4 linked regions of the Elephas maximus indicus genome follow. The protein of the gene in region 2 interacts with the protein of the main gene of each other region in a pairwise test. Links are inferred from orthologs where the notes say so. Each region holds a gene or a part of one and is shown on either strand. Other genes may lie near its edges.

What was found.
Region 1: the proteins of RUNDC3A (region 2) and CCNL2 interact in binary tests that used the Homo sapiens proteins (3 or more experiments, as listed by UniProt). The two-hybrid records come from large-scale screens. The link is inferred for Elephas maximus indicus from reciprocal best matches to the Homo sapiens genes RUNDC3A and CCNL2.
Region 3: the proteins of RUNDC3A (region 2) and RAP2A interact in binary tests that used the Homo sapiens proteins (3 or more experiments, as listed by UniProt). The link is inferred for Elephas maximus indicus from reciprocal best matches to the Homo sapiens genes RUNDC3A and RAP2A.
Region 4: the proteins of RUNDC3A (region 2) and EIF3E interact in binary tests that used the Homo sapiens proteins (3 or more experiments, as listed by UniProt). The two-hybrid records come from large-scale screens. The link is inferred for Elephas maximus indicus from reciprocal best matches to the Homo sapiens genes RUNDC3A and EIF3E.

Annotation. Positions count from the first base shown.
Region 1 is NC_064821.1:39,994,452-40,001,414, forward strand, and holds the start of CCNL2 (cyclin-L2), read right to left. Parts: upstream 3,019-6,963; 5' UTR 2,948-3,018; coding exon 2,663-2,947; intron 2,336-2,662; coding exon 2,261-2,335; intron 2,104-2,260; coding exon 1,994-2,103; intron 1,045-1,993; coding exon 924-1,044; intron 1-923. Other genes in the region: MRPL20 (39S ribosomal protein L20, mitochondrial), read right to left, coding at 6,506-6,679. UniProt on the Homo sapiens protein: Involved in pre-mRNA splicing. May induce cell death, possibly by acting on the transcription and RNA processing of apoptosis-related factors.
Region 2 is NC_064837.1:50,816,754-50,824,221, forward strand, and holds the start of RUNDC3A (RUN domain-containing protein 3A), read left to right. Parts: upstream 1-4,562; 5' UTR 4,563-4,704; coding exon 4,705-5,097; intron 5,098-5,267; coding exon 5,268-5,353; intron 5,354-6,226; coding exon 6,227-6,316; intron 6,317-6,417; coding exon 6,418-6,498; intron 6,499-6,684; coding exon 6,685-6,850; intron 6,851-6,963; coding exon 6,964-7,121; intron 7,122-7,468. UniProt on the Homo sapiens protein: May act as an effector of RAP2A in neuronal cells.
Region 3 is NC_064832.1:92,112,031-92,119,763, forward strand, and holds the start of RAP2A (ras-related protein Rap-2a), read left to right. Parts: upstream 1-4,728; 5' UTR 4,729-4,751; coding exon 4,752-5,065; intron 5,066-7,733. UniProt on the Homo sapiens protein: Small GTP-binding protein which cycles between a GDP-bound inactive and a GTP-bound active form. In its active form interacts with and regulates several effectors including MAP4K4, MINK1 and TNIK.
Region 4 is NC_064833.1:34,017,724-34,025,656, forward strand, and holds the start of EIF3E (eukaryotic translation initiation factor 3 subunit E), read left to right. Parts: upstream 1-4,931; 5' UTR 4,932-4,934; coding exon 4,935-5,054; intron 5,055-7,933. UniProt on the Homo sapiens protein: Component of the eukaryotic translation initiation factor 3 (eIF-3) complex, which is required for several steps in the initiation of protein synthesis.

The sequences.
Region 1 (6,963 bases), on a different chromosome or scaffold from region 2:
TAAGAGCCTCATGCTAGATTCAAGGACTGGGCTCCTGGTCACACATCGGTGGCAGCTCAGCAGAAGTGAGCGTGGCTAACGCACCTGCTCGCTGCTCTGGCAGCTGGCAGCAAGCATGCGGGTAAAGATGAGCTGCCCCATGGCCAAAGGCCTCCTGCTGGCAGCCAGCATGCCGCCCGTCCCACGATTGTCTTCAATACCTTTTCAATCAGTGATATTGACCTGCCCTAAACATCTCTGCATCCCAATTGCCAACTTAACACAACACGTTGTGAAAATATGCTCGGCAAGTAAAGAAAAACACTTAGATATGCTGATATTTTACCAAAAATTTGAAACAGTGCTGAAAACCAAAGTAAGAGAAGACGTGAGGAAACCCACCAACAAAAAGGGGGTGAATTAAAAGATGCAGACAACAATCTTTTGTCAAAACACATTTTGTTCAAGTATAACACAGGAAATATATCCACGGCATTGCAAGTAAACTAACAGTGTGGCAGCCATCCTCCCAACTAACGCGCCACAAAACTGGTTCAGCTCCTTTCAGAGTAAATGGGTCCAGAATTCTCCCCGTTACCCCATGACCCGAAGAAAAGCTATTCCTAAGACAACTTCTGAAAATAATTAGCTCTACTGAAAAAGATGTCTACTGACAAATCCAATTTTTACAAATTTGTCACTATTTTTGAAAGTTCAAACTTAAAAGATACCATTTCTACAACCCTTAAAAATATATTATCAAAATGAACAGGGAACGCGACAAAGTTAGAGATGAACAATTATTTGAGATTATAAACTAGAAAACCAAGCGAAAGTAGCATGTAAATCCTCTCCGGAGCCTTCACTCACTGTGAAAATGGAGAAATGAGGTGGCAAAAGCTGAAAAGTGATGTGGCAGGTCACAGGCTAAGCCCCATACCCACCTTGTGAGGGTGCTTCACATGGACACAGAAGCCCAGCTCTTTGAGAACTCGTCTTTCCGCCTTTATAATTTGGTTCTTTAAATTAACATAATCTTGATCTAACAGTAGAGGCACAGGTTTCCTGCAAAGACAAAGCATGCGGCCTGCATAAGAGTCAAATAAAACGAGGTCTTTCAAACCCCATAATTACCTCCAAAGAGAAGACTCTTACAAACACTACCAAGGCAGACGTTACTGGAAAGTGAACTTCAGTTCCTCTAGCAAAATCACAAAGTCCTCCTCAAACCCCAGTGCTAACTTAGTATCTTTTCTCAGTCACCTTCCCCTGATGCATAATAAACACCAACTAAATATAGTGGAGGGTCTCAGGGTCTCACCACAGAGAGGCTGGATGTACTTCGCATGATCTAAAACACATGTGTACACGTTTGAAAATAAATGGAAAACTAGACAACCGATGAAAGGATGACATTTAACAAGACGGAGCTGTGTTTTCCAAAGGAATTCCACCTCCTTTAGGAATACAAAGTCTAGCTAGATGTAATGTGGCTCTCGATCAGGTGCAATTTTGCTATCCTAGGGACAAGTGGCAGCGTCTGAAGACACCTGTTGGCTGCCACACTGGGTGGGGGTGCTACTGGCATCTACTGGGTAGAGATCAGGGATGCTGCTAAACACCCAGTGATGCACAGGACAGTCCCCTGCAACAAACAACCACCTAACCCCAAACATCTATAGTGTCAAGGTTGAAAAACCCTACTCTATGGCATTCAGAGACATGTACTACACAAGAGATGGATTGGGGTGTGACTACATGGGTGAACCAGGAAGCCAACACCAGCAAAACCACAGCCACAGGGCCTTTGTCCTCCATGGTGCCATTCCCTCATTCACTAAACACTATCAGTTGATTATGACTTGGGCACCAGACTCTGTTTTGGGTACTTGGGAATATATTATTGAATAACCCACCAGTTTAAAACCTCACACCCTGAGCTTTGTTACAGAAATGTTATTGCAACTGAGTCATAAAAACAAAAAGAAATTTTGACACTTCTAGCAAAACTTACTTTTTCTCTCTAAGGTGTCGGAGGCGATGAAACACATTGATGACGTCTCGTATCCGTCTTGGAGCCTCTTCAATTTTGGAGGCCAGGTGTACGCAGGCCATCGACACATGCTAAAACGTAAGCATTTCAACACAGAGTTGTTTGTTCTGCTCCTGATGGCCTCCAAAGACATAAAAAGAGCTTGGTCTACAGGACAGGTAGGCCCTCTTCTGAGCTACCGCCCTGGGTTTCACTTGGGGCTATGTCTATGGAGAAAAAGGTCCTTACCTCCATGGAATGCTTCACAAAGGACTTGGTATAAAAGAAGCGCTGGAACAACACCTGTCCGGTAGCCATGGCCACCTAAAAAAGAGTTTCCCATCATTTCCAAGCGCTCAATTCAAGGGTTTCATGGTTAAACACAAGTCACCGGGCTTGGTGTGGCTCCTGAGAGCGAGCCAAAACCAAATCGTTTTCCACAAAGGCTCGGCCACCTGGTCCAGGGAGAGGGTGGAGGATGGGGTCGCCCTGGGCCCGGCTCCAGGAAAGAGAAGTAGACGAGGGTCGCGCTGGGCCCGACTCTTGGGCGGAGGCCGCACTAGGCCCGGCCCAGCCACCAACAAAGGGCCGGGCCACCCCCGGCGTTGGCCGACGGTTAACCCGGCCCGAGGCTCGCGACAGCGAACTCACCTGCGGCAGGCGGAGCAGGATGCCGGCCGCCTGGATGAGCTCGCAGCCCACCACGCGGAGGCCGGTCTCAGTGTCGGTGTCGAGGCCGCTCGACATGGACGGCGTGAAGCGAAGCTTGTCGTCGGGCAGGAGGCAATTCTCCAAGGTGATAAGCACCCCGGAGTACAGCCTGTCCCCGATCAACACTCCCTGAGACCCGGGGGCTGCGCTCCCCGCGCCCGGAGCCCCGGCCGCCGCCACGGGGACCGCAGGCCCCGGAGCCCCGGCCGCTGCCGTCGCCGCCATTTTGTGCCGCTGACTTCCCTTCGGCTCCTTCCCGGCAGGGCGGCTCCTCGCGACGCTCTACGGCCACCGCCCAGCCTCGTGCGCGTCATTGGCTCAGCCTGCGGGCGGCCCGGCTCTGCCTGGCCGCGATTGGCTGCGCGGCTTGCCTGTCAGTGACGAGCCTGACGCCGACACCGGGAATCGGCGTGAGCGGGGGCGGGCTCGTTACCCAGGGGGCTTCGCGGCGTTTCGGGCGAGGCGGCTCCAACCCGGAAGTGGCGCGTTCTGAGAGCCCGCGGTGCGACGGCGAGCCGGTCCTTAGCCAGCGCGGCCCGCGTCCGCACTGAGACCCAGCGATGGGGAAGCTTGCGCGTCGCCACCCCAGCCGACACAGTGTGCGGTCCTGGCGGGTGGGCTCAGTCTCGGCGGTGCTGGGTGGACCAACCGCCAACCTGCCGTCCCCAGAGGGCCCTCCCGCCCTGTCCATCCCGGCTATGTTCTGGGAGGCTGCGTCCTAGTTGTGAAGAGCATGGTGGAGGGACGCGTGGAGCGTGGAAGTATGGTGTTACCTCCCTCGCGGGAGGTTGACAGGTGCTTGGTAAATCGCCACTAGTCCAGCGCCTGGCACGCAGCAATGGATACTCTTTGCTGAAATTAATACGTGGCGGCTAGTACGGTCATTATTTTCCAAGCCTAACTGACCCCAGGCACTGGGGACACAGAAGTAATACCAAGTTCTTGTCTTCAAAATGCAGTCCACAGGAAGAGAGATTGGTCAGTGGGTAACTGGAAACGTTGACTTCGATGTTGCTACAAAGCCCCTGACAGTTTGGTGGAAGGCAGAAGTTCCACAGGATTCCAGCTAGGGTTGGAGAGGAGGAAGTGAGGGTGCTGGGCTGAAGATGTCAGCAGGAAGCAAGCTGAGTCCAGGCACCTCATGGAACTGTGAGGAGCCATGGGAGGGGTGTAATGCATTTGTGACCCTCGTTTTCATTTGCTCACTTATAAAAGGCTTAGAGCTAGTGGCCCTGGAGGCCTTGCGCAGTTCTGGCCGCCTTGGGTCAGATCACCCACCTGCAGTACTGCCACTGCACTGCACAGATGAACAAATGCTGCGTTAGCCATCTATTGCTGCACAAGTCATCCCAAACTTTCACCAGGACTAGTGCAAGGCCCGTGTGAGGATGGCAGGGAAACCTGTGGGAGAGCCAGGGAAAGACCAGGTGGGGGCAGGTTCAGAGACTTTGAGTGGCCAATGGCATCATGCCCAACTCAAACTGGCTCAACGTAAAGGCCTCCATTGGCTCTAACCCCTGAAGACTCCAGATGTGGACTGACTTCTGGGGAGACTCAACCCAGCAGCTCAAACAATCCCATATGTGATGCAGTTTCTCCTCTCCACCTTCCATGGGCAAGCTAGTTTGAGTCCACCCACCTCTCTTGTTCCCAGCACACAGTACGGGAAAGGAGGAGGAAGTCCCACTGCTCCGGAAGGCCCAGCAATCATCTTGTAAATCCTCAGCCTTATGTGGGTTCCTTGTCCATTACCTGGACAGTGATCGGGCAGAGTGGAGAGAGCTGATGACTCCAGTCAGGTGCAGGCCTGGAGCTGGGGGCAAGGCCATTGATGCCTGCCTGCACTGAGGAAAATGTAGGTCTTAGGTCAGAAGGGGGGCAGCCTACAGCCCCATCTTCACTGAGATGAAACACACAAGAGAAATTCAATCCCCTGTCAAAGGGCGCTCTGTTGTTCACCCAGCTGTCTGCTCCCTGACGCTGTACTGACGATTACTGTGCAGTGAGTGCCTGTGTGTGCTGCCAGCACTGCACTCAGTGCCAGGAATCCGCAGTGCTCAACTCACCCTTGGCCTCCAGCCTCCAAATGTTCACAGTGTGGGGCCGTTGTATACAGAGGGACAAGGATCAGGTGGAGGGTTGCTCAGGTCTGAGCCAAGGTGGTTGCAGTGGGGGTGAAGACATAAAGGAACATGGACAGTGTGTGCTAGTAGGTGGTGGTTAGCCCAAGGGAGGGCCCCAGAATGGTTTCCTGGTGACTCCTGGCAAAGGTGAGAAAAGTACCGTCACCCACAGGGGAAGGAGGCACTGTGGGAGCCCCTGACCAGTGGCCACACAACAGAGCTGCTGGACATGCAGACTGGAGCTTGGGGAGTTGGTCTTGGCAGGAGACGTGAGGGTGCCAGTGAGTAAGCATCTGGAGGCCCAAGCCCTGGGAACAGGACCTCATAGGGCAAAAAGAGGCAGCCACAATGTCATAGGCTGTGGGAAGGGTAAGTGCCCACAAGGAGTAAGTGTTCCCTGGGATCAGAGAGGCCAGGGCTGGAGTGGCTGTGGGACCTAGGCTTTGGTGAGAGCAGCCAGAGGCACAGTGGGCCAACTGCCAGGCCAGAGGACAGGAGGCTGCAAGGGGACAGTCATTTGGCAGAGGAAGGAGAACAGGCTGTGATAGCAAAGGGGACACAGAAATGAAGGAGGGTTCATGACACATGTGAGAGGCCAAGGTTCCAGCTTCAGACCATAGGGAGGGCCTGGCCCTGAGCAGGGAGAGGCAAGGTGTGGATACCTCTGCATGGAGGTGCTCTGAGAAGAGGTCACTGCAGTCAAGAGGCGGACAGGGAGCCAGGCAGCATGAGGAGGGTAGGTAGGCCGTTCTCACTGGGAAGCTTACTGAGAAGGATTCCAGGTTGGACTTCATGGGGTATCTCAGGGAGGGGTGCCTATCTGCCTGTTGTGGGAGGACAGGACAGGCAGGTGAGAGATGGAGGGGACCACAGATGAACTGAGGCTGGCATGGCTGAACAGCAGGCTGCAGGGTCCCTGCTCCAAGCACCAGGAAGTGGGGTGGGGGGCGACAGATGGGATGAGGCCCAAGCCAGGAATGAGAAACCCACCCAGGGGAACTTGGCAAAGACGGAGAATGCTTGGCATCAGAGCCCAGGCAGTACATCCTGGGGGTGGCAAGGGATGCCCGACATGAGCCCAGATGCAGGTCCAGGAACTGGGAAGGTAGGTACAGGGCAGGCCACCCCATGCCCTGGAGGAAAGCTGGGGTCCGTGTGTATAGGCCTGGCATAAGCCCCCCCATCTACAGAAGACAGATGATCTAAGATTCCAAGGGAGAAAACAGCATGCTCAGGTGCATACTACAACCCAGGACCTCGAGGGCATCCCTGGGCAAGTGCACCCCTCAACTGAGTACACCCCAAACCCCAGGCATTCCCAAGGCAAAGTGAGCACAGACCCCCACCAAGGTGCAACGCTCCCCCAGGCCAGGGCACCCCAAGGTAATTGCATCCCTTGGGATGCCCTGTTTGCAAGAAACACAAATTGCAAAGCGGAGCACCATACAAGGTTTATTTTTATGATCTACATAAGACAAGTCTGTGAAGCTGTTCCAAAAGGAGGAAAGACAAGACCTTTCTCTCACACTGGCTAATAAAATATAAATAAACATTTGTAAATTGACTTAGAAACTGTTGGCTAAAACTTTCCTCTCACTCCTATTTTAGTTGTATGACCATTGTGGGGAAAAAAATTTCTTAAGTCATACACTGGCACTACTCAGCAGTAGTGCACCACGCGGGAGAACACGCCTTCAGGCTCCTTCCCATCCCCCAAGGCAGCAGCAAATCCCTCTTCTCGCCTCCTTTTGGCCAAAGCTGCCAAAGATTTAAAAGTCTTTGGCTCGTAAATGGCCAGGTCTGCAAGCACTTTCCTGTTGAGCTCCACCTGGCACTGGGAGAGAAAGCAGCGGAGACAGCAGTCAGGTTCAGGACTGTGTAGTCAGGGACAGACAGTAGTTAGGTTCAGAAGAGCACCTCAGCAGACTGAGTGCAACACCACACGGCCACCCCTCACCCAGTTATCCTGTGTATGGTATGTCAACACCATGCTCACACAGGTGAAGCCATGCTAAGGCACCAAGGAAGCTGTGGGACACGGGGAAGAAGGCAAGGCCAGGATCTGGTCCTGGGGCCAGCCTGGATGCAGAGACTTCATTTAGGGCTCACAGTCATCAC
Region 2 (7,468 bases):
GGGCGGGGGACAGGCCAGATGCCCGCTCCAATTCCAGCCTCTCCCGGGGACCCCCTCGGCTCTCCCCGCAGCCCCGGCCCCTCCCCCGTCCCCAACAAACCCTGCACACTCTGCGGATTGGTCCCCGGCCTGCCGGGGGCGGGGCCCCGGGCCCTGACGTCACCAGCCGAGGGGGGCGGGCGGCTGGGGGAGGGGGTGACAGGGCCCGGCTCAGCACCTCGGAGAGCTCCCTCCCCGGCCTTGTTTTGCTCCCGAGTTGCTGCCGGGGGAGGGAGCGAGGGGGCCGGGCGCTAGGCGCGGAGGCAGGGGGATGGCCGCTGGGGGGTCAAGGGGCCCTGGCGGGCAGAGGGCCCAGCCGTGAGCCGGCGGGGGGCCGGGACGCCGGGCGAGGTGGGGGGCAGCGGGCGGCGGCAGCAGTGGCCGCATATCTGGATGGAAGCAAGCTTTGTCCAGACCACCATGGCTCTGGGGCTGTCCTCCAAGAAAGCGTCTTCCCGCAACGTGGCCGTGGAGCGTAGGAACCTAATCACCGTGTGCAGGTGGGCGCCGCTGGCGGGTGGGGGGCGGGATGGTCAGGGAGCCGGGTTGGGCAGCTGAGGAAACTAGCGCGTCCGCGGGAGGAGACACAGCAGCTGGGAGAACAACGAGGGAAGCAAAGGGTTAAAAGTGCGCGTCCACGGCCCCTCCCAGGCCCAGAATGGGGAAGGGGCTTGAAGGTCTGGTCCCTACCCTTCTAGGCCTATGCAGGCCGGTGCACAGCCTGGGTCTTGGGGGTTGGGGGGTTTTAATTGGCACGGCAGCTTCCTGTGAGAACCAGGAAGTGACATTGTGTGAGGGGGAGGGGGAGGGATGTCTGGCTTCGTTTGCTGGGGGCGGGGGCGGGGCAAGCCGAGAACTGCTGGGGGGAATGAATGCTCTCCCGGGGTACCCTCACCCCCACCCCTGTCAGCCAGGCCTCTCTGCGGTGGGGCTTTGCCTGGGAGACTTTCCTCCGCTGAAATCTCGGAGCAGGGACCGTACCCTCCTCCATCTCTCTCTGGGCAGCTGCAGCTTAGGCCAGGGTCACCTGGGCAGCTGGGCAAAGCCATGAGTCAGGCTAGCCAAGGGTGATGGGTGCTGCCCCTGGCACGGGAAGAACCAAAGACTGGCTATGGAAGCCTGAGTCCTCTGGGCTCAAGGAGAAGAGGATGGAGGCAGGGCCCTTGGTCCCTGAGGGTGCGGCTGTCGCAGTGTTGGGAAGAGTCACAGGCTCTCTTGGGGCCCAGGAAGTGGTCCTTCCCACTTCAGCCCTGCAGTGGCTCATCATCCCTGTTCTGCCCGGAGCCAGGAAGCAGCCAGCCGCCCAGCTAATCTCCCTGCAACCCCCAAGGACACTCCCCTCTCCCTCTGGGGTCCCCATGCCAGTGGTTTCTCCACCTGCAGCCTCCCTGGTGCCCAGGCCCCCCAGGTGTTGGGGAGTAGGCCCACTCAGGGCAGGGTGCCCCCATCTCAGCCAGCTTCTCTTGCCAGCCCCACCTACCTTGTACACAGACCTTGGCCCTGCCTCCTCCCCCAGGAATTAGCGCCCACCTGATGCCCTAGTTCCTCCTGTAGCTCCTTCCAGGTTCCTGGGCACACATCCAGCCATGCTGTGTGTCTCACACGTTATAGCCCTGCGGCCAGCACAGTGCTGTGCACATCAGACCTTCCACAAAATGCTTTCCATGTCATGGAAAGAATAAGTGCAGCTATGGCCCGGCCCAGAGCACAGGCTGCTGCCTCCACCCTCACTCCCAACCTGTCAAAAAAAAAAAAAAAAACCCAGTGCCGTCAAGTTGATTCTGACTCATAGTGACCATATGGGACAGAGTAGAACTGCCCCATCGGGTTTCCAAGGAGTGCCAGGTAGATTCGAAGTGCCGAACTTTTGGTTAGCAGCCAAAGCTCTTAACCACTGCACCACTAGGGTTTCCACCAACCCACCGGTGTGGTGTAAAACAAAGATTTTGGCCTTCGGGGCCAAATAGTTGTAGGTTCCAGCTCTTCACCATTTATTAGCTGTATAACTTTGGGGGAAGTCTCCTGACCACTCTGGGCTTTGGGTACATCATGCCATGTCTGTAACATGGGGCAGATGTAACAGACACCCCAGAGGACGGTTTTGATGAGATACATGTAGGGCCCAGCACAGTGCCAGGCTCACAGAAACAGCCACATCCTGATGACACCCCTCTCCTCCCTCTCGTCATTCTTGACCTCCCAGGTTCCTCTTCTTTCTCTTACCTGCCAGGATAGCTGACGCTCTTGACTGTGGAGAGGAAAGAGGGAACTCCCCTGGCCTAGGCTGGAGAAGCAGAGGTTCTGGTAGACCAGAGGTGGGCTCGGAGCTGGGGTAAAGGGTAGTATTTTTGGGCATCAGGGCATGACAAAGGCTCAGAAATCCCTCGGGCCTCTGCTGCCTCATCACTGTCACATGGTTTGCCTCCAGCTCCCAGAACAGCTCCCTTTAGCAGGCCAAGGGTTCCCCTGGGCCCTGGCCTCCCTGTCTCCATGGTAACCCACAGCAGCCACTGCACCTCCTAACCGGGCGCACACCATGGGGCTCCCAGGGGCGATGACCAGCTGTACAGCACCCCTGAGGACAGATGACAGAGGGCTGCCACACTGCACCCAGCCCCAGGCCCCTACCAAGGCCTGACACAGATGACCAGAAGAAACCATCAATGGAGGGTCATAGTGAAGCCCAACCAATGTCCTAAATGCAGACTCCCTCCCAGGAGGGCCATCATCCCACTACTGGCCCAGCTCCTCACCACCCCTTGCCCAGCCCTGCCCAAGACTGGGACCAACATTGAATGTGACAAGTACTATTATCACTGTTACACAGGAAGATGGGCTTAGAGAGGTTGAATGACTTGTCCAAGGCCACACAGTATTACAAGAAAACAGAATTTGAATCCACTGGGCTGCCTCCCCCTACTGTAACCCCAATCATGACCTACCTGGCTATAATCTCAGGCCAGAACAACTCTGAGCCCAAAGAGAAGTGAAGGGGGCCCCATAGGTTCAGCTGTGCCATTGGCCTGAAAGCCTCAGAAGCCAGTACTCCAGGAATACAGTCTTGTAGGGTGGAGGGCAAGGAAGTCAGAGGCTGCTCAGGGACCTAAGTATGACAGCCCCCAGGAGGCCACAGATGTAGCAGAAAGAGCAAGGGCTTTGGAATCAGACATAACTGCTTGAGTCCTTACTAGTGACCCTGAACAGACCAGACAACCTCTTGGAGCCTCAGTTTCCTTATCTGTAAAATGGGGATGATGATGATAAAAAGAGGACCTACCTCCCAGGTCTGCTGTGAGGGCTGGATGAGATAATACATGCACAATATGGTGCTTGGTACAGGATAAGGGCTTAAGAAACTTAGAAAGAAAAAACGACAGTTCCAAGCAGCCCCCATACCCCTGGTGTCCCCATCCCTGTCTGTCACCCACAACAGGGCAGTAATGGGATGTTGGAAGACATATCCCCATCCTGGCCCCACCCTACTGCAGACTGTGGAGATTGCAGGGGAGGGATTGCAGGGGAAGCCTGAGGCTTCAAGCAGGACTGGAGAGAGGGGCAGGGGCCACCTGGCTTAGCGCCTCAGCCCTCCTGGCTTCCCTCAGCTCCCTCCACTCTGAGAAGCCAGGTGTCCAAGCCTCCAAGCTCTTTCCCAGGGATCTGCTGCCAATGCCCCTCTGGCCCAATGTGTGTATCAGACCCACACCCTGCAGCTCCCCGCCCCCCACCCCGCCCCAGCTCTGCACTGCCTGGTTCTGGGCAGCTGGTGTGTGGGTGGCCGAGCTGGGAAGAAAAGGAGGAACAGGGGTATTCATTTGCTGAGAGCCCACCTGGCCACCCATGAGTGCCCACGCTCCATATGCACGGTGCCAATCATATGCCCTGGCAGAGGTGACTCCCCCACCCCCAGAAAGGGCAGCAGGTTGTCCCAGCAATAGCAGAAGCCAGCTCAGGGCAGGACACAAACAGGCTTCTACCTCCTGCGTGACCTCCAAGTCACACAGATAGAGAATGACACTGAAGGGGGATCAAGGAGGAAGGGGATCCCCAGAGATGGGGCTCTGGGAGAGCCCCCTGGCTTTGGTGCCCCATCTTTCTATCTAATGTTTCATCTCCTCCCGTATTTTGTTCCCAAAGCTTCCTCTCTCTGGCTGTCACCTCTCCTGTCACCCACTTCATCAATCAGTCTCCTACCTGTCATCCTCCCTCCCCACCTGCCACTCTGTCATTCCACATGTCATAGCCCCCCTGTGGTCACTGTATTCTCACCTGTCACCCACCTCTTTTTCCCTCTGCGTCCCACCACATCCACACCTGTTCTCTGCCCATGGCTGTCTCTCTTGGCCTGACACCTTCCTCTTCCTTCCCTACCCTGTCTTCTTACCTGACACTGACCGTCCCTCCCCGTAGGTTCTCCGTGAAAACACTGCTGGAGAAGTACACGGCCGAGCCCATCGACGACTCATCTGAGGAGTTTGTGAATTTTGCAGCTATCTTAGAGCAGATACTCAGCCACCGTTTCAAAGGTGGGCCCAGGCTTCTGTCACCCACCGCCTAGCCCTTCCAACTTCCAGCTCTTAACGTCCAGCCACCCCACTCTGATATACTCACGGCTTTCTGAACCCCACACTGACTCTGGCCCCAATCGTGGGCCCTACACAGAAGCTCATGCGTAGAGCTAGGAGGAGGGAGGGGTCTTCCGGGCACACACAGTGGATGCCCACCAGCCCCATTGATGGGTGTCAGCTTTATGCTGGTGTGCCCTCTGAAAGCATGCATGTGTGTGCACACGTTTGGGGTGGGCACTATGCATGTGCATGGGAACCTATACGTAGGCATGTGTGTGCTCCATTACATGGCCCCTCTCCAAACTCCCTGGCCTTGCTGAGCCCCCCTCCCTGCCCTGGCTCAGCCTGTGCCCCAGCAGGTCCGGTGAGCTGGTTCAGCTCAGATGGGCAGCGGGGCTTCTGGGACTACATCCGACTGGCCTGCAGCAAAGTGCCCAACAACTGCGTGAGCAGCATCGAGAACATGGAGAACATCAGCACAGCCCGAGCCAAGGTGATGGGGGCTGGGGCAGGGTGGGGCTGGGGTGATGCTCCCTGGCTCTGGATGCAGGAGGCCTGCCTGCTCCTTGGTCTTCACCCCTACCCACAGGTACTGGGGAGAGGGGTGACAGGAGGCCACAAGGTCTTTCTGGGACTGCAAGTGAAGGTGAGCTTGCTTTGTAGGGCCGGGCCTGGATCCGGGTGGCACTGATGGAGAAGCGCATGTCAGAATATATCACCACGGCTCTACGGGACACCCGGACCACCAGGTCAGACCCTGCCTGTCAGCCCAGCCATGGGTCTCAGTTTGCATGGTCATCGTCTAAAAGCACTTGATTTTTAAGTTCCAGTGGCAACTTTCAGTACCTGGACTACAAGTCCCGGGATAACTGCTAGCTTCTCTCCCAGGTTGTTCCTAGCATGGCTGTTCTGAGGTCCTGGAAGTCACACTAAGCACTACTCCCATCACCTCTATGTCAAATTATATGTCCCATTATCTCCCACCACTCCCATCATGCACAGCTCTACCCTTGGACACACCTCTAGACAAGCCCCAGCCATGTATGGCTTTACTTGTTGGCCTTGTTCCATGACCTTCTGCACACAGCCCTACCTGCTTCCCAGATAACTGCAGCAGTTCTGTACTTGTTACTGGGACTAGACAGTCCCGTGAGCAGTTTCAGCCCCTGGACTGTGGGTTTGCAGAAAGATTGGGTCCCTGTGTTTGAAGCTGTTGGATGTAGTAGGGGCATGTACCCTCCACCCCCAAGGTGGTCATGCCCAGCCTGACCTTTTACTGCATTTATCCTGTCTGTCCTCACATTTCAGAATTCAGGTCAACATATTTTTTGAGCCCCTGCTATAGGCATAGTGCTAATGATTTACACTTGTTCCCTGACTTTGAGGATCTGGGTGACCCAGTACTTGGTGGGAAGGGGCAGTTCAAATGATGGAGGGGAATCTATTCTCAGGTAACATCCGTTCTAATAGCTGGGAGACACAGGTCCTATCCCCAGCAAGCCCCAGTCTGACGGGGGCAACAGGATCCAGGAAACACTGGGAGGCAGACAGCAGAAGTCCTGAGGGGTGCAGACTTGGGAGGAGGAGGGTGCTGGGCCGTCAGTCCCTCTCTTGTCCCACAGACGATTCTATGACTCCGGAGCCATCATGCTGCGGGAGGAAGCCACCGTCCTCACAGGGATGCTGATAGGACTGAGCGCCATAGACTTCAGGTGGGGCTCTCCAGGGTGCTGGAGGGGGGTGTTTCCCCCATGAATCTCCACACCCCTATTCCCTCCTGCCCGGCCCCAACCCTGTGGCTCCTTTGCCCCAGCTTCTGCCTAAAGGGGGAAGTGCTGGACGGGAAGACCCCTGTGGTCATCGATTACACGCCCTACCTGAAGTTCACCCAGAGGTGAGCAGCTGGAGTTGCGGTAAGCTCCGGTGACTCTCAGATGACCCTCGGGTGATGGTCTGAGGGGCAGTGACGGGACTGGGGACGGCCGGGCCAGTATCCTAACCTGGTCCCACTGCCCGAGGGGTCTGGATTGGGATGCGAGTGGGGCAGGGCTGGCCCGCGCCCACTGCTGTCTCACCGAAGCTACGACTACCTGACGGACGAGGAGGAGCGGCACAGCGCCGAGAGCAGCACGAGCGAGGACAACTCGCCCGAGCACCCATACCTGCCGCTCGTCACCGACGAGGACAGCTGGTACAGCAAGTGGCACAAAATGGAGCAGAAGTTTCGCATCGTTTACGCGCAGAAGGTGCGCGCCGAGCGGCGGGTGGGGGTGTGGCGGTGCTGGGGACACTGCCCAGCCAGTGGCTGCGGCAGCGGGGACCGCGTCCTCTCTACCCGGGCTGAGCCCGCGCTCCGCAGGGCTACCTGGAGGAGCTGGTGCGCCTGCGCGAGTCGCAGCTGAAGGACCTGGAGGCGGAGAACCGGCGGCTGCAGCTGCAGCTAGAGGAGGCGGCGGCGCAGAACCAGCGCGAAAAGCGGGAGTTGGAGGGCGTGATCCTGGAGCTGCAGGAGCAGCTGTGAGCGCGCTGCCGCCCTGCCCCTGCCCCCCACTCAGAGCATGTCAAGTCAGCGAAACCCATCATTCAGGGACCCCCAAGTGATGTCACTCCCATGACTCTAACATCACCTTTCCTGACACTGCATCCAACTCAGCTAACCGCCAGCGTTAACCCACTGATCCACACCTTCACCGCAATACACTCCATGACCTTCTAACATTATCCCCAAAGATCCCCAACAGAAGATGCAGGGATAACCGACTTCACCCTACATGACCGTAGACATCAGCTAGAACAGCCATCCAGCGTTACTCACATTGCCCTCCAGTATTCCTCCTCCACGCCATTACTCACAAGGACCTCTA
Region 3 (7,733 bases), on a different chromosome or scaffold from region 2:
AAACTCGGTGTTTGGTGCATTTCCTGGACTTGGCCCTATGCACTTCTTTCTTGGCTGATTTAAATCTGTATCCTTTGCCTGAAATAAACTGTAACCATGACTATAACAGCTTTCCATGAGTTCTGTGAGTCCTTCCAGTGAATTTTCAAAACTGAGGGTGGTTTGGGGGATCCCTTGAATTGCAATTAGTGTCAGAAGTGAAGGTGGTCTGGTATGGACTATCCCCCCCAACTTCTGCAGTGGGCAAAGGACCACACAGTGGCAAGAGCTGAGTCATGTGCCTCCTTCTGGGCTAAGTGTGTTCAGAGAGGAAAGGACTGACATTAATGACAAATCCTGACTCATCCCGAGGAAAAAGAAAGAGCAAGCATTCAGGAGGCAAGCGGCATTGTGGCCACACTTGTGCTATATTGAATGATCCACACTAAAACTCTCATTTTCTCAAATCCCCCAAGTTAAGACTTTTCAGTCTTTTTCTCCCTATGTTTTAATCCTTAAGCCTTTCCTCTCAGAAATTTTTTCTTCTTAAAATGGACTTTTCAAAGAGACATTTACTTCCCAACCCACAGGCTTCTTTCACTGACTTGTTTACATACTCAATCTCTGCACTGTGATTCTTTATCTTTTCAAAAGCATTGGAACGTACCAAATTTCTGAAGAGGAACAGGTTTATTTTGACCTTTCCTTCCCACTTTTTAACCTATTTCTATTTCTCAAAGAACAAGACAATGTCTTCTGCTCTCCTTCTAATTCCCAGCAGGGTGCCACAGGTGCTAATGTACGCGGTTTGTCCCTGCCTTTTATGGTTAATCGGAGATGAGCTTTAACAGGAATCAACAGGAACCAGGGTTTTACAGCCAAGATCAACGGTCATATTACACATGGCCTGTGCTAACTTGTTTATATTAAAGTCTCTGCATATTTGCTTCTTGCTGATGTCAGGAAGTCCCACAACACAGTGTATCCCCACTTCATTACACCTTTCCAACGTCTTTCACTGGAAGAAAGGAGCTGGGTTTCCATGGTAACGCATGGATGGCACTTGAGGGTATTTGGGCATAGGTATGACAACTCTCAGAAACCCTGGCGGCCTAGTGGTTAAGTGCTAGGGCTGCTAACCAAGAATTTGGCAGTTCAAATCCTCCTTGGAAACCCTATGGGGCAGTTTTGCTCTGTTCTGTAACACTGTGAGTCGGCATCGACTCCACAGCAGTGGGTTTTGGTTTAAGACAACTCTCAGATTCAGTGGAGAGAAGAGAGACCAAGTCTCCCCCCACCCCCCCCCCCAGAAATTCACTTCAGAAACTAAAGGGACCCAGCAGGTCAGCATGCAGTGTTAACACAGATTTATAACTCTAAACGAAAATTCAATTTTGTTTTATCTCAATTTTATTTTGCCTTTCTCACAAAGAAATGGGGGCAGAAGCTTTGATTTCTAAAGTTTCTCAGAACAGAGAGATGATGCTGGCATAGGAATGCACATGATGAAGGGACCAGGAGACAGACAGCCGTTACCCACACAAATCTTCAAAATTCTCTGTATGTCCCGACATGTTTCCTTACGGCTGCTAGTCCTTCAGCCAGGATTGCACATAGAGCCACCAATCAGGTAAGTACCAGGATCCAAGCCAGAACAGATAAGAAAGCATGTGCCTGCCTGTCACATTTCCTTTGCCTCCTAGTGGTTAAAAAGTTACTTCATGCCACTTGAGAATGCAAACTGAGGCCTGTCCATATCAGAACTATAAACAAACTGCAGTTACTCCAAGGGCTGCAGTCTCTACACTTCTGCTTATCAGAAGGTCAGCACCGGTGAAAGGTCAGAGGAATAGCCTGAGACATGCCAAACACCTCTCCTGCTCCATTATGCGAAGCAGACTGACTAAGGAGCCCACTTCCTATATTTGTTACAACTTCTGTTTGATGCACTCTAATCCAGAGCCTCCTAATTGTCTGGGAACCCAAGCTAAGGAGAACAATTGCTTAAGGTTACATACTGGGCCCACAATCCCAACACTAATTTCTCAAAAAAGAAAAGTCACTGGGCCTTTTTTATTCCTCGCAAAAGGAACAGATTTTCAACTCCACTGCGACATAAGGCACTGCACGGGCTGTAATGATCTACACAAAGACAGAACTTTGAAGCTCCTTGGCTCTCCTTAGCCTCCACCAAGCCCAGGAAGTTATTATCACCAAGTTAGACAATTCAGACCTTAAAAGACAGTCGGTCTTTCCTTAGAAAAGAAGTGTAGCTGTTACCGACTGAGCTCATGTACCTACAAATAAGAATACTAGTTTCACACAAAATACCAGACTTCTGAAATGCCAGGTGAACAGTGCATTTACCTACAACATCCTCCTGAAATGTCTCTGCCAAAGTGCTCAGATATGAAGCATTCAACTGAGCTCTCTCAATTTTAATTCCTATTTCACATTACTACCTTCGGTTGAGATATCAGATCCTCTTCTGTCTCTTTTAAATTATTCCTCTTAGTTCTTTTGCAATTTGCCTTCATACACTGCTGAACCTACTGACTCAGATATAACACTCATATTTCGATGATAATCAAGAAATAATGACTGAGGCATATTTTACTACACACTTTTAATTCTGACAGGACACTTCCTTGTCTTAAACAAAAACTTAGGGTGGTGTGTGTGTGCATATACATATTGTATATATATATCTTATATATATAGCGAGATAACGCGAATATGAATCATCCACTCTAATTTAGTGGAGTGATAAGGCATTAGGACACTGTCGAATCTGGGTATAAAAGTAATGGTGGAGAGGCACGCCAGAATCAAACGTTATGACTATAAAAAAAGGATTTATTATTCCCAAGAGATGTGAGAGAGTAATGGATGAGAGTAGACTACTTTTAGAAGGACTTAGTTTATGGGTGGTAAACCCAACAACGAGTTATTACAAAAATAATCCAGGGATGTCTGGGGCTGTGGGTGCAGAAGGGTACCTAAGCTGTAATGCTCGAAACATAACCTAAGTTTTAAAACAGGAAAACACACACACACACCCTATGCCTTAGGAGGCACCCAGAGAGGACCAACATAACTGCTGCACGATGCCTCCTCAAGAACAGGAAAATTTCTGTTTTCGCGATTCAGCCCACCTTCACCCCAATCCCTCAACACCATTTCCACGCCCATCACTGAAGGAGAACGCCACAGAGACTCAATTCATCACCCTCCTCTGCAACAACCCTCGTTGCTTTGCCAGAGGAAGCCACAGCGACCAAGCCCTCAATCACTGACGCCCTCCCCAGCCACACCAGCCCTGAGTCCCGTCTCCATACAACCCGGCCTTTGTAGCAAGACAATCGAAAGTTGTGGTTGGCTCAACCTAAGCCTGCGTCATTCACCAGCTCGCCTACGATTGGTTGGCAGAGAGTACGCAGGCGCAAACGCCCCGCCTGGAGAGGCATACGGAAATGGATGGCTGAGCCTGCAACTAGACTTCTTCCCTATTGGCTGAAGCAAGGGTGTCACGTGGCATTAGGCGGCTCCCTATTGGCCCTGAGTGATACCACGAGGTATAGAGACGTGTTGTGGTTGGCTGGAATGAATCCAAGCTTCCTACTCAATGCTCCAGCCGGCTGTTGCTGAGGCATCCCTGGTGTTCTTGGCGGCCTCGCAGGGCTCCGCGCTCCGGGTTTTTCCTGCGCCCGCAGCTGACAGGGCGTGGGAAGAGCTCGCCTTCAGTCCCGCTCAGTGGGAGGCGGGGCTAGAGGGGAGGTGGATGGGATCCACGTCGACGTCGCTAGGCGTGAACCCTGCCTCGGCGGTGTGTGTGGCCGCTGCTGAGCAGCTCCTCCGGCCGTGGGTGCTTGTCACCTGTCCGTCATTGCTCTGCCGCTGGGAACAAAGCTGCTTTTCCTTACGTTTATGCAACCTCGGGCAGAAGGCCGGAGGTGTTCTCCTCACCTTACACAGAGCTTCATCCCCACAGCGAAGCCCTGAGAAATACTGACAGACTGGGCGGTGTCAGGCAGAGCCCCTGCCCACGTCTTCCCTGCTTTGCTTGCATTAGGTTGGCCTGGCCCCGCTAGCGTCCGTGTCCGCCAAGACCCGAGACTCCGGCAGGCGAACTGGGCATGCTCAGTACACAGGCCCCAGGGCGCGGTGGGCTGTGCGGGTGGGGTGGTGGTGAGTGGCCGCGGGGCTTGTTTATTTAAGCGCGGGCCGAAGCTTCGGCGCTGCGCAGAGCCTCCGGGGAGCGCGCGCGGCTGGTCGCCTAGACGACGAGGGCCGGGGCGGGGCCGCGAGGCCGCGAGGCCCCGCCCCGGCCGCCGAGCCCCGCCCCCGGCCGCGCCGCGGCTCGGGCTCGGGCTCGGGCTCGGGCTCGGGCTCGGGCGCGCGCTCCAGCGCCGAGGGGAGCGGCGGCGGCGGCGGCGGCGGGCGAGGAGCTGGGCGTGGAGGCGCGAGGGGCGGGGCGGCCAGGCGGGCGGGCGGGCGGCACTGCGGGCCCGCGGCTCGGGCGGCTCCGGCGGCTGCGCTCCCTGCGCTCCCTGCTCGCCCTCAGTGCGCCCGGCTCGGCCCATGCCCAGGGCCGCCGCTCCCTCCGCCGCCGCCGCCGCCGCCGCCGCCCGGGGGGCCGCCGCGGCCGTGCGGGTGGGGCGGCCGCGGGAGGCGGCGGGGCCGGCAGCCGGGGCAGGGTCCGGGGGCGCAGCGCGGCGGGCGTAGTCTATGTCGCGGGCGGCGGGGGCGGCGGCGGCGGCGGCGGAGGGACGATGCGCGAGTACAAAGTGGTGGTGCTGGGCTCGGGCGGCGTGGGCAAGTCCGCCCTGACCGTGCAGTTCGTCACCGGCACCTTCATCGAGAAGTACGACCCCACCATCGAGGACTTCTACCGCAAGGAGATCGAGGTGGACTCGTCGCCGTCGGTGCTGGAGATCCTGGACACGGCGGGCACCGAGCAGTTCGCCTCCATGCGGGACCTGTACATCAAGAACGGCCAGGGCTTCATCCTGGTCTACAGCCTGGTCAACCAGCAGAGCTTCCAGGACATCAAGCCCATGCGGGACCAGATCATCCGCGTGAAGCGGTGAGAGGCGCGGGCGCGGGGGCGCGGGCGGGCGGGCGGGCGGGCCGGCGGGGGCAGCCCCTTCCGGAGGGGCCCCGGGGGGCGGCCCGAGCCGGGCTTCAGGGCGGGACTGGGCGCGGCTGTCCCGGGGCCGCAGCCCCGGCGCGGGTCCGCCTTAGGGGCCGCTGGCCGGGGAGACGGCCCGCGCGCTCCTGCTGGTTCTGCAGCCCTCCCCACCCTCGTCGTCGTCATTTTCCGTCTCCAATTTGACCGCTTTGTTTCACAACTAATATCTGGCACCCCGTTAACCCACAGCACAGCTCTTTGTCTCTTGGCTCGTCTTAGGAGCGCTTGTACAGAACCCTAAAGGAAACAAAGTTTAAAACTTGCAGGGGATTAAAGGGGTGGGCAGGTTTATGTCGGGAAGAGGATAGTGGAAGTCTAGGCAAGACATTTTCAGATTGAACCGCCCCCGCCCCCTCCCCCCGAAAAGCTACCTTTGCAATATTGATGGCAAAAATTGCTCACACATGGACTGCGAAGATACCACATCAAGAGCAAAGAGACCTTTATCATCCCAGAAAAGATTTAATGGTGCAAATGCGTCTTACAGAAATCAGCTCTCTGATTTAGTGCGAAACTTTGAAGCCAGATTGTTATTTGAAGACAGCAGCTCAGTGGGGTTGCAGGAGTGTTAGCTTATAGGTGCACAGATAAGCCTTTTATTCATTAAAAGAAGCGTGGCTTAACTCTGGACGGAAATGCTTTTTTCTTCCATTTGGTTTTGTTTCCATCTAACCATCCCCCCCCCCCAAAAAAAGACGGAAGAGTCTTCAGATGTGTAAGTCGGGTATTAGCTGATAAAGTTACTACAAACGAGCTCTTTGCCGATATAAACTCTGTTCTAAAAAGTTATGGCTGGTAGCTTAAAGGACATGATGTCTGTTTTCTATTAAAGTTGACTGAGTATATTTTTCCCTATGATTTTGAGCGTTTGGCGTGTTAGTGTCCTGGTTCAGAGTTTCAGCAAGTTTCCCTAATTACTGTTGAATTACACATGTTTGTCTGGTTCTTACTGTGAGAGTCTCTGCAGATAACCTTATTGATGTAGTCTCATTTTCTTTTTCCTACCCCATTCCACCTGTAGCCATACATTTGAAGACAGACATTGAAAGATAGGTGCGAGTTTACCACAAGCACAATCACACCAGAAGGCAGCTTGAGTCTGCTGATCTTGAAAAAGCAAGGACCAAGCGCGGTGTACTCAGGGCATGCTCAAGAACTCTGTCAGCAGTGGGTTTTTAACGCAGTGTAGGAGCTTCAAGGGGAGGCCCTCTCCCCACCACCCTCCTTAACCAGATGACTGTGCACTTCAATAGCTAAGTGAAAGTTTTGTGTTATCCCTTCAGTTAAATTTCAAACTAGAATAAAGTCAATATTTTTATGGCCTTTGTTGCTGAGATCTGTGAGTCTGATAGCCTTTTATTTCTCCAGTCTCAGTATCTTCAAGTTGTTTATGGTTAACAGATGGGCAGTTTTGGTGTTGATAATGTATATGACATTGAAGGAACTACACCATTCAAAGGGAGCCCTGGTGGCATAGTGGTTAAGAGCTCAGCTGCTAACCTATAAAGGTAGGCAGTTTGAATCCACCAGCTCCTCCTTGGAAATCCTGTGGGGCAGTTCTTTTCTATATGTAGGATGACTGTGAGTGGAAATCGACTCGACAGCAGTGGGTACCATTCAGGGGACTCAAATGCTTAATTATACTTCACCACCCCACCCCCAACACCACGCAATTAAAATGAAAAAAATCTACGAGCAGAGCAGTCTAACACGTTGCCACATCTCAGCGTTTGACCAAACACATAAAATAATAATCTAAGTAAGTGCCCCAGCTGTCCCACCTTTCATGTCTTAACATGTCCATATAAAGGTGCATGCATACGTTATAAAGCCACATACCCAGAGCAAACCTCTTGGCCCGAGCCTAGGGGGCAAAATATGGTAGACAAGATATCATCGGATAGTATAATTTCTTATTTAGTGCTGATTATTTTTCTCAGTATGTAATGTTTTAGTCTAAAATTGGTGTCCTGGGACAACTTCTTGCACTGTGGCCCGTTGCGGGGGGAGGGTAAGGATAAATTTGACTTGCCTGCATGTCGCTGTACTCACTAGGTTCCCTTCTTGGTGTAAAAAGACCAGTGAGCAGCTAAAGTGGAGTTCATCCACTCTTCACTGGAATTCTACCATTTTCCCCATGAAGAACCACTGAGACTTTTATGTTCACATCATGTTTTTTTATACCCCTCCCTAACCTCATCATCTGGTTTCCCAGACCTTACCAAAAAAACCTTTGCAGTCAAGTCCATTCCGACTCTTAGCGACCCTGTAGATCAGAGTAGAACTGCCCCACAGGGTTCCAAGGAGCGGCTGGTGGAGTTGAACTGCCGACCTTTTGGTTAGCAGCCATAGCTCTTAATTACTGCACCTCCAAGGCTCCCCTGGCTTCCCAGCATATAGCATATTATACAAAAATTAAATTGAAAGAGAGAAAGGACTTGTGTCTGTTATCTATCTACAATACATAAAGCATATATTATACTGGAACAGGCGTTCACTGTGTTGGTTCTTCACCCCTCCTCCCACTTAAAGAGGATGAAACATGGTTTTCAAATAAGTGAAT
Region 4 (7,933 bases), on a different chromosome or scaffold from region 2:
ATCACATCATTATACGACTGCCAAACTACATTATAACAGCCAAACCACTGAGAATCATAGCCCAGCCAAGTTGACACACAACCTTAACAATAACAGGTACTAAAATGTTACCTTCCTCATGAAGTTGTGATTTTCTCTGGCAGAGAAGTACTGTCTTCCGTGGCCTCTCAGGAGCACTTCATGCATAGACCCTGTTACATTGTGCTATGATTATTTTACATTTTCATATGTACCACTCCCACCAAACCATAAGCTCCTTGCAGGCTGGAATTCGCCTATTCAATCCATGGAACACACTACTGTCAGAATTACCTTCCTGAAACACAGATATAATTATTTTCCCTCATGCTCAAAAATACTTTAAGGCTCCACATAACCTAAGATGAATTTAAAATTCCTCACATAAGTTTTCTACTATTTGACACTGGTCTTTTTTTTTTCCTGGCTTATCCTCCCCTATAGCCTCTAATCATTGGTTATTTCCCAAGTTTCCCCAGAGCTTGACATTGTGACCAGCAAAAAAGCATTCAATAAGTATCTGATGAATGTTTGAGAATCAGAATCTACATCTGATACCACCAAGAAACTGCTGGGTAAGGCCTTGCTTGCTTTTCCTAGCTGATGTCTCTTCTAAACTAAAAGACTTAGAAGAGACTAAAGCACAAAAATAAGATTTCCCATTTCCCATATTTGGGGCTAAATCTCTCTTATAAAAAGAAACAAGATATTTTCACAAACCAGCAAGGAAAATTCCAGGGGAAAAGCCAGGCAAATCAGCAGAGTTTCCAATCTGTCACCACTTTAATCCATCTTGTAAATCACTTCCAGTTTAATTTTAAAGTACAAAACATCACTTTCTTCATTAGTTTTCTATTTCAGAACTTAATGAGTGGCTTCCATTGCCTACCTGATCAAAAAATTTTCCAACCTAGTTTTGAAAACCTTCCACATTTCACCTACTCAATCCACTGTCCACGCTGTCAGAAGTACCTTCCTGAAACACAAATATAATTATTTGCCCTCATACTCAAAAATATTTTAAGGCTCCACATGACCTAAGATAAATTTAAAATTCCTCACATAAGCTTTCTACTATTTGACATTGGTCTTTTTTTCCTGGCTTATCCTCTGCTCTAGTCTCTATTCAGCAGTTATTTCCCAAGTTATGTTTCTCTAATATGTCTTACATTTCCCTGTCTTTATGTATCTGCAGTGTTCAAATTGTTCCTGAACCACTTGAAATGCTTTCCTCCAGATCTATTCTAAAAGTTAGCCGTCCCAATAGAAAACATACAATCCACTAAGATTTTTCCATCTTCTCCCTCCCCATTGAGAATCAATCTCTGTTTGGGGCCAACCTGACTGGACGCCATGCTCTTCTCATATTCCATAGAGCTTCTCAAAACATTCTGTCCTTCCACTACAGATACTTACATAAATACTGAATCACGTCTATCAGCATACACACACCTTTTAAGACACCCTCCTGAGACCCAGTATCTACCATTTTATTTCTCTACTTCCTTTTCTAGCAAAATTCTTCAAAAGATGTGTTTGTATATTTTGTCTCACCTCCTCACCTCCCCTCTTTTGAACCCACTCCAAACAGCCTTTCATCCACCACTCACTGACACTGTTCTTGTTTTAGAGGTTAGAGCTGAAAGGCTTTGGTGGTAAAATTGATGTAGAACGTAAAAGCCAAGGACGATTCTAAAGTTTTGACCTGAGCAACTAGAAAGATGCAGTTGCTATTCAATGACGTCCAGAAAAGAACAGAAGCAAGTTTCGGTGAGCTACATGGGGGAGTTTGTTTTCGGACATGTTAATGTTGAGATATTGGGCAGGCAGTTGGATCTATGCGAGTTTGGAGTTAACCAGCGGTCTGTGTTGGGGTCATAATTTGTGAGTTGTCAATGTGTTGTTGTTAGGTGCCACTTCAGGAGCGACTACATTATTGAGCTAAAAGTGTGCCTGGGGGGCATGCTCTCGGGGTTTCTCCAGTCTCTGTCAGACCACTAGGTTTGGTCTTTTGTGTGTGTGTGTGTGTGTGAGTGAGTTAGAATTTTGTTCTACATTTTTCTCCAGCTCTGTCCAGGACCCTCTATGGTAATCCCTATCAGAGCAGTCAGTAGTGGTAGCTGGGCACCATCTAGTTGTGCTGGACTAAGTCTGGTGGAGGGTGTAGTACCTGTGGTCCATTAGTCACATGGACTAATCTTTTCCTTGTATCTTTGGTTTTCTTCATTCTCCCTTGCTCCAGATGGGGTGAGACCGTAGAGTATCTTGTTGTTGTTGTTAGGTGCCATCGAGCCGATTCTGACTCATAATGACTGTATGCACAACAGAATGAAAGACTGTCTGGTCCTGCACCATTCTCACAATTGTTGTTATCCTAGAGCCCATTGTTTCAGCCACTGTGTCAATCCATCTCACTGAGGGTCTTCTTCTTTTCCATTGACCATCTCCTTTATCAAATATGATGTCTTTCTACATGGACTAGTCCCTCCTGATAACACATCCAAAGTATGTGAGACAAAGTCTCGCCATCCTTGCTTCTAAGGTGCATTCTGGCTGTACTTCTTTCAAGACAGACTTGTTAATTCCTCTGGCAGGCCACAGTATATTCAATATTCTTCATCAACACCAAAATTCAAAGGCATCAACTCTTCTTCGGTCTTCCTTATTCATTACCCAGTTTTTGTAATGCATGAGACAAGTGAAAATACCATGGCTTGGGCCAGGTGCACCTTAGTCTTCAAAGTGACATCTTTGCTTTTTAACACTTTAAAGGGGTCCTTTGCAGCAGATTTACCCAACGCGATAAGTCATTTGATTTCCTGACTGCTGCTTCCACGGCATTGACTGTGGATCCAAGTAAAATGAAATCTTTGACAACTTCACTATTTTCTCCATTTATCATGATGTTGCTTATTGGTCCAGTTGTGAGAGTCATTGTTTTTTGTTATGTTGAGGTGTAATTCATACTGAAGGCTTGAGTCTTTGATCTTCATCAATAAGTGCTTCAAGTCCTCTTTCAACAAGCAAGGTTGTGTTATCTGCATATCAAGCAGGCTGTTAATGAGTCTTCCTCCAATCCTGATGCCACATTTCTTCACATAGTCCAGCTTCTCTGATTATTTACTAAGCATACAGATTGAATATATATGGTGAAAGGATGCAACCCTGACACACACACCTTTTCTGATTTTAAACCACTCAGTATCCCCTTGTTATGTTTGAATACCTGCCTCTTGGTCTATGTACAGGTTCCGCATGAGCACTATTGTGTGTTCTGGAATCCCCATTCTTCACAATATCTGTCTGTTTGTCATACTGTGGTGGCTTATGTGATGCTGGTAGCTATGCCACCAGTATTTCAAATACCAGCAGGGTCACCCACGGTGGACAGGTTTCAGTAGACCTTCCAGACTAAAACAGACTAGGAAAAAGGACCTGGCGATCTACTTCTAAAAAATTGGCCAATAAAAACCTTATGAATAGCAGTGGAACACTGTCAATGTGTAGATGGAATTTAAAGCCAGATTGGATGATATTGGAGCCCTGGTTGCACAGTGGTTAAGAGCTCCGCTGCTAACCAAAAGGTCAGCAGTTCTAATCCACCAGCTGCTCCTTGCAAACTCTATGAAGCAGTTCTACTCTGTCCTCTAGTTGCTGAGTAAGAAATGATGTAATGGCAATGGGTTTGGTTTTTTGGTGGATGCTATCACTAAGGGCACTGGTGTAGTTGGAGAAGATGTGCAAGACCCCCTGGGGCACTCCAAAATGAAGATGCTTGAATGATGCTTGAATGAGAGGAGCCCTGGTGGCCCGGTGGTTAAGAGCTCTGCTGCTAACCAAAAGGTCAGCAGTTTGAATCCACCAGCTGCTCCTTGGGAACCCTAGCAGGCAGTTCTACTCTGTCCTATAGAGTTGGTAGGAGTTGGCATGAACTTGGCATCCAGGGGTTTGAACGATGAGAAGTAATCAGTAAAGGAGAATAAAATCCAAATGCCTTACCGTAATTCTGACTTGGTCTCTCTCAACCTCTTTAACTCACTCTTCAGTCACAGAGGCTTCTCAGTTTTTTAAACACACCAAGTCCTCTCCTCTCATGGTCTTTGTCTTTCCTGTGCCTTCCACCAGGAATATTTTTACCCCGGCTCTCATTTTAAAAAACTCTTTCTCTTACTCCAACTCTCAGATAAATTGTTACCCCATCTCAGTTTTTGCTAACCACCTTAATAGGTCCAGCCCAACCATCCATCACAAAGTTTTAGCCCTTCTTTTTTTTTTTTTTTAGAGTGTGAAATAATTTCACTTGTTTTCTGCCCAGAAAACTTCAGTTTTTATATGAAGCTTACAATATGATTGTTGTTTTGCGTGTTGAGTTGATTCCGACTCATAGCAACCCTATATGAGGGTAGAACTGCTCCATAAAGTTTCCTAGGCTATAATTTTTACGGGAACATATCGCCAGAACCCCCCTTCCCCCAACTCCACCTTTCAGTTAGCAGCCCAGCCCTTAACCATTGCGCCACCAAGGTTCCTACAAAACGATTACCATATGTCAAATATTAGCTCAGATATTCCTTCTTGCATGTAACTTCCTTGTCCTCTGCCGCATCCCAGTGAAACAGCGTCTCAGCAACCAATCCCGAGTTTTCAATAATTTTATTAACAAACGGATTTCAGGTCATTGATTTGTAAATCGTAGGCCTGCAACAGGAGGCGGATACTAACCAATCGGCAAATAGAAGAGACCGGGCCCGCCGCTCACGTCCTGCCCAGGTAAAGGGAGGACTCGTGCGCATGCGCCATTCCTCTCGGCGCGCGCCTGGCTGAACCCCTCCCCTTTTCCTTCCCGGGTGTAAGCATTGCACATGCGCAATACTGGTTTTGTCCGTTCCCTTGTCACCGCTATCAATAAAGTTTTGATGAGTACAGACTCCCTTTTCCTTGGCAAGATGGCGGAGTACGACTTGACTACTCGAATCGCACACTTTTTGGATCGGCATCTAGTGTTTCCGCTGCTTGAGTTTCTGTCGGTAAAGGAGGTAAGGGCGGCTTTGAGCCGGCGGAACGCGTCGGAGCGCGTGAGGTGCCGGGGGTGCCGAAGGGCGGTGCGTTTAGTCTTAGGCCTGACGCACGTGTGAGGCAGACGGGCGTTTGGCCCCAGCCCGGGCAGGAGGTGTACTGGTAGTTTAGCATTGACCTGGTTAGTTAGCACAGCAGAGTTCGGCTGTGGGAAGGAGTGAGGTGAAGGAATGAAACTGGGTGACAAAGAGGTCTGTGTATCGCTTCTTGAGGTGCCGGCACCCGGGGGACGTCTGCGTCAGCTCTCGGAAGTTGACGCTTAACTGGCTAAACTATAACGTTTGACCTTTATCCCAGGACGGCTTCTAAAAAGCAAATTGCAGTGTTCGAAGTTTTGATTTTCTTTACGGAACCGTGGGAAGAGTGGGCTTGACTTTGTGCTTTTGTTCGCCGGATCGTTTAGAATGTTTTTCTTACACTTAAATATCTAGCATTTTTTCCAAGAAGTTGTGAGCTTTTTGCGTGCAGTTTCCCTGGTCTTTTGATAAGTAGTTACTTTCTAGAAGCGTAGCATATTTTATCGGATGGGCAAGAGCACCAGAAATAATAACAAAAACTTTTAACTTATTGTTTATTTTCTAATGTGTAGATAGATTTTTTTTTTTTTTTAGATAGATGTACAGATTTCGTCAAGTGATTTGAATTGGTAGTTAATTTTCACGTAGCTGTAGTTCCGGGATCTCATTTTAAAATATACTTCTGTCCTAAAAGTTTTGAAATGTTGGGCTTAGTTATAGCTACAGTTTATTGGGAAATTGGTGCATTTTAATCATCATAAAGTAATATTACTATGATGAGGGGATTCGAATTTTGACCAGAAAAATAAGTTATTTCTGGAAGCAGATTACTGCATAGATCTATTGAGGGGACAGAATTTGGGGGCTTTTTGTGGATGTTCCAATAGCAATAAAAAAAAAAAAAAAGGTCGTGAAAATAAACATTAATTTGTTCTGAAAACTCTTCAGAGCTTCCAGGTGGGTATGGTTTATTAGAGAGCTATCGTCCTCAAATCCATACCATTAACTTTTTATAAACACATGTGGACTTAAGTTGATGACGTTAGGGAACAACAAAGTTAATTTCAACAAATGTCCTGCTACATAAAGCTTTATCTTTAAAGAATGTATTTTTGCCTTGATGTTTATGTAGGGTGTACTGTTTTTTAGAACTTGTTACTGCCTCGGAGTCAGTTGCAATTCATAGTGACCACATGTGACAGGGTAGAACTGCCCCATAGGGTTTTCTTTGCTGTAATCTTTAGGTTTTTTTTTAATCTTTAGGGCAGCAGATCTTTCTCTCACAGAGTCTGTAGGTGAGTTCAAACAGCCGGCCTTTTGATGAGCAGTCTAGTGTTTAACATTTGTACCAAAGGCTTAGGTAAGATGATTCACCACAGATCAAGGAAGACAAAATGCCATATTTTGAAATCCTTTACCAGCTACTTGTAGAAATGCTTGCTTCTAAACTAGTTAAACTTCATTTTTCTGATATGTTCTTTACTCTTTCTTTTTCAAGGTAGACAGAAGAAAAGGAGGAATATAAGTGTAGATTAGTTTTTCATAGGGCAAGACAAAACTGTGTATTGCAGCTGAAAGTCAGTGAGAAAAGGCTACTGTTGTTAGGTGCAATTGAGTCAATTCCAACTCATAGCGACCCTACATACAACAGAATGAAGCACTGCCCATCCTCACAATCGTTACTGTGTTTGAGCCCATTGTTGCAGCTGTTGTGTCAGTCCATCTTGTTGAGGGTCTTCCTATTTTTAGCTGACCCTCTGCCTTACCAGGCATGATGTCTTTCTCTAGAAAGTGGTCCCTCCTGATAACATGTCCAAAGTAAGTGAGACAAAGTCTCACCATCCTTGCTTCTAAGAAGCATTCTGGCTGTACTTCTTCCGAGACAGATCTGTTCGTTCTTCTGACAGTCCATTATATTCAATATTCTTCACCAACACTGTAACTCAAAAGCATCTATTCTGCTTCGATCTTCCTTATTGTCCAGCTTCCGCATGAATATGAGGTGATTGAAAACACCATGGCTTGGGTCAGGTGCATCATAGTCCTCAAAGTGACATCTTTCTTTGTTTTTTAATACTTTAAAGAGATCTTTTGCAGCATGTTTGCCCTGTGCAGTACGTCGTTTGGTTTCTACTTGTAGAGCATGCTGGTGAAATGGCTGTAATACACCAAGAGGAAGACAGATCCTGGAATATTTAGTGATTACTAAGTATCGGATGGCCATAGAATTGTGAGAAATCCAAGATAAAACCCAGAAATCTCCAAGTGGTGTAGTGGTTAAGAGCTACAGCTGCTAACCAAAAAGTTGGCGTTTGACTCCACCAGGCGCTTCCTGGAAACCCTGTGGGGCAGTTCTACTCTATCCTGTAGGGTCGCTATGAGTCAGAATCAATTTGACGGCAGTGGGTTAGTAGGTCTACCTGTTTTTTAACAAACAAACCTGGAGTCAGTCTGTTCTTTAGAGGAGATAAATGTCTATAATATGAGGCAAAAAGTTAAATGTCAGAGAGATACCAGTAGTTGCCATGAAAATTAGGAGATACTGTTATCTTAGTGGAAGCTCGTGGCATAATGGTTAAGTGCTGTAGCTGCTAACCAAAAGGTTGGCAGTTTGAATCCACACACTCCTTGGAAACTCTCTGGGGCAGTTCTACCCTGCCCTGTAGGGTCGTTATGAGTCGGAATCAACTTGATGGCAGTGGGTTTGGTTTTTGGTTTTGGTTATCTTAGTAGGCAAAAAGGACTTTGGGAGGTGAGGCTTTACATTGAATCTTAAAGGCTGGATGGTTAGGTTATAGTCACAGTGATCATGATACATAAGG